Regions from separate parts of the Mus musculus genome. Here region 2 is reported to be linked to region 1. Evidence: microRNA targets listed by miRTarBase, many of them from high-throughput screens and not tested one by one. Region 1 holds a microRNA gene; the other region holds the end of a gene's coding sequence.

Evidence for each region. The annotated mature microRNA mmu-miR-3092-3p reads GAAUGGGGCUGUUUCCCCUCC and lies in region 1 at 1,256-1,276, shown strand. An mRNA with a match to its seed (bases 2 to 7 or 8) in the 3' UTR can be bound and repressed. Matches are read on the target gene's strand: a 7mer-m8 pairs with bases 2 to 8, a 7mer-A1 pairs with bases 2 to 7 and ends in A, and an 8mer does both.
Region 2: the mRNA of Klhdc9 is a reported target of mmu-miR-3092-3p. Seed matches in the 3' UTR shown: 8mer at 3,161-3,168.

What each region holds. Positions count from the first base shown.
Region 1 is chr3:27,582,124-27,586,190 of GRCm38, reverse strand. Mir3092 (microRNA 3092) reads left to right here and starts at 1,196; the gene lies at 1,196-1,291. All of the region lies in intron 3 of Fndc3b (fibronectin type III domain containing 3B), which reads left to right.
Region 2 is chr1:171,355,453-171,359,506 of GRCm38, forward strand. It overlaps Klhdc9 (kelch domain containing 9), which reads right to left. Exons shown (of 4, transcript NM_001033039.2): 3 at 4,003-4,054; 4 at 2,997-3,528. The coding sequence ends at 3,362. It overlaps Pfdn2 (prefoldin 2), which reads left to right. Exons shown (of 4, transcript NM_011070.4): 2 at 1,078-1,166; 3 at 1,253-1,376; 4 at 2,398-3,802. The coding sequence ends at 2,574. Among named protein-coding and RNA genes, the nearest start is that of Klhdc9, 3.3 kb to the right of the region's middle.

The DNA of each region.
Region 1 (4,067 bases):
CCACCCTTTATCTTCCCTGGACCACGCCTGGTAGTTGGAAATTGATTAGTGACAAGCCATCTGCATAGACATGGAACACACTCTCTCCTGCAAAAGGACCTCTCCTTTGAAAAGCCCTTTGTGTGTTTTAAACAGCATTTTAAAGTTGAGTTCTGTTGAGGAAGCTAGAGATAGTCAGGGCTGCAAAACTTACATACCTGTGTTCAAGTATTTAGAAATTTAGATGCTTTGCAGAGATCTGTGTCTTTTATTTTTAATTGAGATTTGAAAAGGAGTGTATTCATTTTATAAACAGAACCTGATTCCTGGTGCTTTCCAGTAATCCCATTAACCTTCTACTTAGAATATGCTTATGCTAGCTATGAGAAAACTCAACTATTGTTATGTAATGAACGAATAGAGTCTATTGACCTGCCTTTGAGAATTTAGTTGTTTACAAAGACAGACAACCCATCTGGTAAATTTTCTGCTTGTTTTATTTATAAGGAAATAGTTGTGCTGTGTGAGTTTTGTGGGAATCCCTTGTCTTTGCTTCTCAGAGATCCAGGGTATAAGTGTGTATGCTGCTGTTCTGACATGCAGGCCTTTCGTGTCACCTGGGAACTCAGATGTTAAAAGATAAGTGGTGGGGAGAGGGAGAGGAGAGAGGTAAGAGAATGGCTGTAGTTTTTACGTGTATCTCAGAAGAAAGACTGGAAGCTGGGGCGGGGGTGGGGAGGGGGTAAGGGTGGCTTGTAGGACTGGCATGCTTTTAACATTCTTGAAATTACTTCACTGTGTCTGTCCTTCCCTTGGCAGAAGGGCTGTGATCTCTCCTGCAGAGCTGAGTCAATTTGCTCTGTTTGCTTGCTTGCTTGTTTGTTTGTTTACAGAAACTGCAAGAAGTTGAGTCTGTGTCCCTTCCTCTGTTTCACTTTAATCAAAATAAGTCTGAGACCGAAGTGCGTTTCTCTTCACCATCCTGATGATTTAAAAAAAAAAAAAAAAAAAAAAAAAAACCAAAAAAACAAAACTCCAGATTTGGGGTCTGAGCTGTTCGATGACATCCTTGCAAAAGCATCTCAAATAGTCATCTTTTTGGTTCAGTTCAAAATTTAAAGATTTATGGGTAGGATACATGTGGGGTGACCTCACAGGAAACTGTCCCCAGACGCCTTGGCTGCCCTGATAGCCCTGCAAAGGCCTGGCAAAACTGTAAGAGGCTGGACCTGAGGGGAAAATGCCTTTCTCCCAGTTTCCTGATCTTTGTGTCTGGGAATGGGGCTGTTTCCCCTCCTGTCCTGCAATCTTATTCCAGCCCAAGGCTGAGAGGACAGGGGAGAGTGAGGAGTCCAGCGTCCTCCTTTGTACAGAGCTGCTTCCACGGGGAAGGTGGAGTGAGGCTGAGGTCCAAGAGTTTCCATTTCTGCGGCTTCCCCTACCCTGTCCTCTCTTGCACTTCCTATGAGTCACCATGGAGATGTCATCTCTTCCCAACCAGCACCTCACTGTGGCTTCTTAGTGTCTTCCTTCTTACCCAGAGTGGATTAAGTAACCCAGCTTCTGTGACTTGAGCTTCCAAACTAAGGATGATCCGACTTACTGTACCACCGCAGGGAGAGGAACTGTGAAACCCTGGTCTTGCGGCTTAGGGTGTTTGGGTGTGACCCTTACCACTCCATGCAGAGAGCCCTTCCAGGTCATCGGGAACATTCTCCCGGCCTGCATGTGGAGCTGGTGTCAGCTGTAACGGACACAAACTCAGCAATAAGAGGAACGCAGGCCTGAAATGTTGTTCCCATGTCTCAAGAAAGCATCAGCTTTGAAGTTGTTCTATGTTCCTGGTTTATAACGTCAGAAATTTCTCCTTTTGAAAATAATCAGTATTGGAATTCTATTTTACATTTTCCTAGACAGGGTCTTATTCTATGTTCAGAGTATCCCTGCCTCAGAGCCCTCTGGTACTGGGATTATAGACGTGAACTCCACTCCTGGCTAGAACACACTTGAAAAGAAAACATACATATATATATATATATATATATATATATATATATATATATATATATATATATATAATACTTTAAGAAATGGAAATGTGTTACATTAAAAATGTGGCCTCTTTATTTGTATCCAGCACTGATAATATGCAGACAGTAAAGTAATTGCTTTGTTTACATATACATTGACTATTTGTGTTTGCCACTGTTTGAGTGGGACAGTCATAGGTTACAGAAGTGATTGAATATATGACTCGATAGTGTGGCTCAGCTCTCTCATGTGTGTCAGAATACAAACAACAGTGATCCTTAGTAAAAATATAAGACCTTGTTATTTTTATAACTCATAGATTAACACTGATGAGTTTTGGCCTGAAGATAAATCCAGATATGCTTGACCAAACCCTCTATATGTATTACCATTAAGTAGACCTCACCGGGCGTGGGGGGACTCACCTTTAATTCCAGGACTTTCGAGGCAATGGCAGGCAGATCTCAGTGAGTTCCAGACTAGCCTGGTCTATATAGTGAATTCTAGGACAGCCCGGACTACATAGAGAGACCCTATCTCAAAATCCAAACCAATCCAAACCAAACCAAACAAACAAAATAAAATTAGAACTCAACCTGAAGAATATACATCGAGTCCTACCTAACAGCTTATTTTTATTAAATTTTTCACCACGCACTTCATTTTATGTTTCTATACATGCACAGGGTTGCATGTGCTGTGGTACACACACAGAGGTCGGCTCTCTCCTTCCAACATGGGGTTCTTAGGGATTGATCCCAGGCCATCATTCTTGGCAACAGCGCCCTTTACCCACTGGGCCATCTCAACAGCCTCCTATTTTTATTTGAAGCAGCATTTGATGCAGAGTAGCCCAGCACAGTCCTCCTTGCTTGTTCCTATGTAGAGTGGTGAGGCTGAAGTTGGGGTCGGTGAGTTTCCAGTCCAGGGCTCTACACTGAGCACGCTGTAGATGGTTTGCTCTCGGTCATTCATTCTAGATCCCGGGTATCAGGACATGCTTAGTGTGGGGGTCTTCACACGCCTCCTTCCACCGAGGCACTTTTAATACAGCGTGTCCCTTTGCCTTTGCTCATGGCTCTATTGTGTGCACCCCTGTTTCCTTGCTGCATGTTCTCCTTACCTGCTGGAAGAAGGGACTTAGGAATGAGTGCTCATGCAGAACAGGGAAGCCGAACACACTTGCTCGGCTTTACAACCGGGGAACTCTGCATTTTCCTTAACACTAATATTTGCTCAGGGAAAATAGTGACCTTGTCTAAATAATACATTTTGATCATAACAACTTGATGCTCACAGTTGTTTCTAATTTTTAAAACATCATTTACTGTTTTATCATGGTTCTCTCTTAAAAGGGAGAATGCAGAAAGGTTTAATTCCTATATTGTCATAGTAACAGCATAGTTGTCAGGATGAGGAAGAAATGTTTTGTACTTGAGATAAAGTTGTAGGGGGTTCACACCTCCGCTCTGTCCCCTGCAATGCCCTTCATAGGTAATTGGCTAGGCTTTCCATTTCAAATTTTCTGTGGCAGGCTGCTCTTATTTCCACCACTGATCACCATGGCAACAGGTACTCTCTTCTATTTTTGGAGCATGAAAATAGTGCCGTCTTTTCTCTAATAATAAGTGATGGCTCCAGAAAACCAGAGCTGTGAAGACTTGTTTTTCTTTGCTTCTTTAAAAATCTGAAATACTGTAATGTTTGTGACTTTGGAAATCTTTCATTATTCACTAACAGGGATAGTGGTATTCCGAGGCTTGTTCACTTAGCTACACACCTGTGTGCAGATAGAAAAATCAATGAAGTTAAGTAGCTGAACAGGTTGTTGGAGCTTACAGTTGTGAGGACTGGAATCTAGCTAGCCCAGGTGGCCTGTCCCCACATTAACCCATGCCACTGTCACTGTGGGTCCCTGTTAGAACAGCATCTGCCTCTGAGAATCCCTGACCCTTCAAACAGTGCTTATAAGATACGTGCCTCAGGGCACATAGACTCGGAGAGCAGAAGATCATCGTGCTGGTATGGAAAATTCACCTAGCCAGATGCCCCACCAC
Region 2 (4,054 bases), not on the chromosome of region 1:
GCAGTTAGGAGCACTGACTGCTCTTCCCAAGGTCCTGAGTTCGAATCCCAGCAACCACATGGTGGCTCACAACCATCCATAATGAGATCTGATGCCCTCTTCTGGTGTGTCTGAAAACAGTTAAAGTGTACTCACATATAATAAATAAATAAATCTTTTTTAAAAAAGTCTTTAAGTCTTTAAAAAAAAAAGGACTGTAAAGATGATGACTCAATGATTAAGATTTCACACTGTGCATCTAGAGAGATGACTCTGCAGGTAAGAGCACTGACTACTTTTCCAGAAGTCCTGAGTTCAATTCCCAGCAACCACATGGTGGTTCATAGCCATCTGTAATGGGATCTGATGCCTTCTTTTGGTCTGTCTGAAGACAGCTACAGTACACTCATATACATAAAATAATTAAATCTTTTTTTAAAAAAGTACACACTGCTCTTCAAGAAAACCCAGGTTTGATTTCCAGTACCCATATCAGGCCTATAACCCCATCACCCTCTTGGTCTCTGATTAGTGACAAACTGGCAAGCTAGCTCAGTAGTTAAAAGAACTTAAAAGAAAAGTGGTTAAAACATTTTGATGAGACCCAGGTTCAGTTTCCGGTGCGCGCGCACACACACACACACACACACACACACACACACACACACACACACACACACACACACAGTGCTCACCACCATTTGTAACTCCAGTTTCAGGGACTCTGTCGCCCTCTTCTGGCCCCTGGGCACCAGGCCCAACATGGTACACATGTATACAAACTTCCAGGTATAACAGCACTCATGAACATATAGTAAAAATTAGTAAGTTGGGGAGGGAAACATAAAAAAGCCCTCTTCACCTGCAAATCTCTTGTAGGTGTTCCAGTGGCTCCTCACCCCCCCCCCATCTCTCACATTCAAATCTATTGTTAAATCCCCCTGTGACTAGTAAATATCTCAGACATATAGGCACTCAGTAAGAATGTAGTCTATGCCCTTCCCAAGATAGCTATCCACTACTGTGCCTTTGTAACTTGCCATCCTATGGCTGCCTTTACTTTCTGGTGTTTTCACGGTCTCATCTCTCATCTCTTAGGTAATTGCTGGCTTTAATCGCCTTCGGCAGGAACAGAGGGGCTTGGCTTCCAAAGCAGCTGAGCTGGAGATGGAATTGAATGAGCACAGGTAGGAAGGCCGCAGAGAAACAGAGTGATTGGATGGAGGCTTGTGGGGATCAGGACGCATTCTGAGGTCTTGTTCTCCTACCCTAGCCTGGTGATCGATACACTGAAGGAAGTGGATGAGACCCGCAAGTGCTACCGCATGGTTGGAGGTGTGCTGGTGGAGCGGACTGTCAAAGAAGTGCTGCCTGCCTTGGAGGGCAACAAGGAGCAGGTGAGCAAGAATTCCTCTATAGGCGTTTGGGCAGCCAAGAGGTTAAATGTAGGTGACTAGGGATTTAGGGAATTCATGTTGATGGTAGCATGCAGCCTGTTAGCTATCTACTGTGCCCTTTATACTATTACAAAGTTGAAGTCCAACTCCTTAAGTGAGGAGTTGTTGGCTGTGTGCCCTTTCCATGGGCTCTTTGATGTGGTTGAGTGGGGAGGGAATGGGTAGAGCAGTGTTTCTCACAATATAGTCTGTGGATCCCTGAGTCAGAATCTCCTGAAGAACTTGTTTAGCAGTGTTGGGCATCAGACCCAGGGCCTCATGCGCAGTAGGCTAAATACTCTTCTCATTGAGCTACACCTCCAGCCAAGGACCAGTTTAAAATGCAGCTTCTTAAGAGCTCTCGATCCACGGAACCAGACCCTTAAAGAAACCATAAGTGACCTTTTAAAGGGAGAAAGAATCCTGACTGGGGTGGCATACATTGATGTTTAACTTGCTGAGATGATGAGGCAGAGGAATCGGATTTGAAGCCTGCTTGGGCTAACTAAAAATCAATCACTTAAAAAAAAAATGAATGTGACCTAAGAGAAGAAACCATAGCATGACAAATGCTCTTTTAAGAGCAAGCAACCCACCCTCCCTGGGCAGGGACTGAGGGTGGAAAGTTGCTGGAGAGGGGACAGTAATTGTCTTAAGTGATGTAGCTGCTGGTGAGCCACTAGTGCTCCTGTGGGTATCTCCATCCATTCCCACAAGGGTGCTCCAGGTTAGACTCATGGGCCACAAAACAAAACAGAGAAATACGATTATGAGATGGGATGGGTTGGTGGCAAGTGGATGAGAGTGGGCTGTTTGATCATATGCTTTTATAACATTATCAAAGAATAATGAAAATAAGTAGCTCAGATGGTTCCCCTTTATAAGCCACTGTGTTCTTGTCTCACTGCCTCCAACTGTAGCACAGTCCGGGGCAGAGGAGGGAGACCTGCACTCCTTCTCCATCCTCTCTTTTGCCTCTTAGATACAGAAGATCATTGAGACACTGTCACAGCAGCTTCAGGCAAAGGGCAAAGAACTGAACGAATTCCGGGAAAAGCACAACATTCGTCTCATGGGGGAAGATGAGAAGCCAGCAGCCAAGGAAAACTCAGAAGGGGCTGGGGCTAAGGCCAGCTCAGCAGGGGTGTTGGTCTCTTAGGAGCTAAGGCCTCTGCGGGTTTTTTTTTTTTTACCCTGATTCCCACTTGTAATTTCTTTTTATTGTCGTTATTATTATTTCTCTGCTATTGTAATATTTTGTTTTTGTTGTTGTTGTTGATTAAATGTTTTGGTCAAATACTTAGCTATAGCCTGAACCTTTATCTCATTTAGGGCTACACCGACCTCATAGAGCTGGGTGTGGTGCCACACATGCCTTTAATAATCTTAGTGCTTGGGTGACAACAAGAGGCAGATCTCGGAGTTCCAGGCCAGCCTGGTCTACAAATCGAGTTCCCAGTAATCCAAGGCTATATATAGACACAGTGAGACCCTGTCTCAAACAAAACAAAAAAATATGATTTGCATTGTTTCTACCAGGTTAATGGCTCACTATCAGAAAGGAACCTCAGTTCGGTCTTTCCTTTGCAAATAAAGTAATCTGTTTATTTGATGCTCTTCTAAAACGGATTCAGAGGGCTGGAGAGATGGCTCAGATGGCTCAACAGTGAAGAGCTCTGTCTGCTCTTCCAGGGGGCATCTGTTTTATTATCCCCAACAACCACATGGTGGCTCACAACCATCTATAATGGGGTCTGATGCCCTCTTCTGGCACAAAGGTGTACATGCAAATAGGGCACTTATATAAGTAAAATGTATAAATCTTCTAAAGGATTCAGAGACAAAACTCTCGGATTGAAATTTAATAAGTATTTGAAGTAGGGCAATAGCTCTGATGAGATCGCTTTGTAGGTTTGCCACAACACAGAGTGCCTCCCTGCTGTTCTTTAGATGAAGAATTCCAGGATGCAAACCTGTGGGCTAGCTGTCCTGCCGTCCTCACCAAAACCCCCAACCAAATAAAGCTGGTCATTCCAAAGGCAAGTCCGATGGCCCACGCGCTTCAGTCCACGGTCTGTACTGGGGAAGTGGAACCACAGAGGCGGAGACTTGCCTGTGGGTTGAGAGCAGAAGGTGGTTACTGTGGCATTCTGCTCCGGCCTTACCCAGTACGCATGCCTGTCATCGTTCCCGTTTGATTTGTCAGCCTTTTCAGATGTTCAGTATTTATATTGTCTATTGTATTTTGTTTTTGAAACAGGGTCTCACTCTGTCACCCTGGCTAGTTTCACACTCTAGATCAAGTTGGCTGGCCTCAAAAACTACCAGAGATCTGCCTGCCTCTGCCTCTGCCTCCCAAGTGCTGGAATTAAAAGTGTGAATCACTATGCCTGGCTCTATTTTTTGTTTGTTTGTTTTTCAGCAGTCCACACACTTTTGCCTCCTGAGTAGCATACATCACCACAACCGGACTGCATTCCTTTAACTCATCAACTGATTTCTCCTCCTTTCTATCCCACCACCCCTGTTTTGTAATTTTTAGCTGTGTCTTTTTCTCCTCCCTTTCAAATGATAGCTTGGCGCTCACGGGTATCGTAGATGTAGAGATCATTGCAGATCGTATCTCTAGCTCTGGTCAG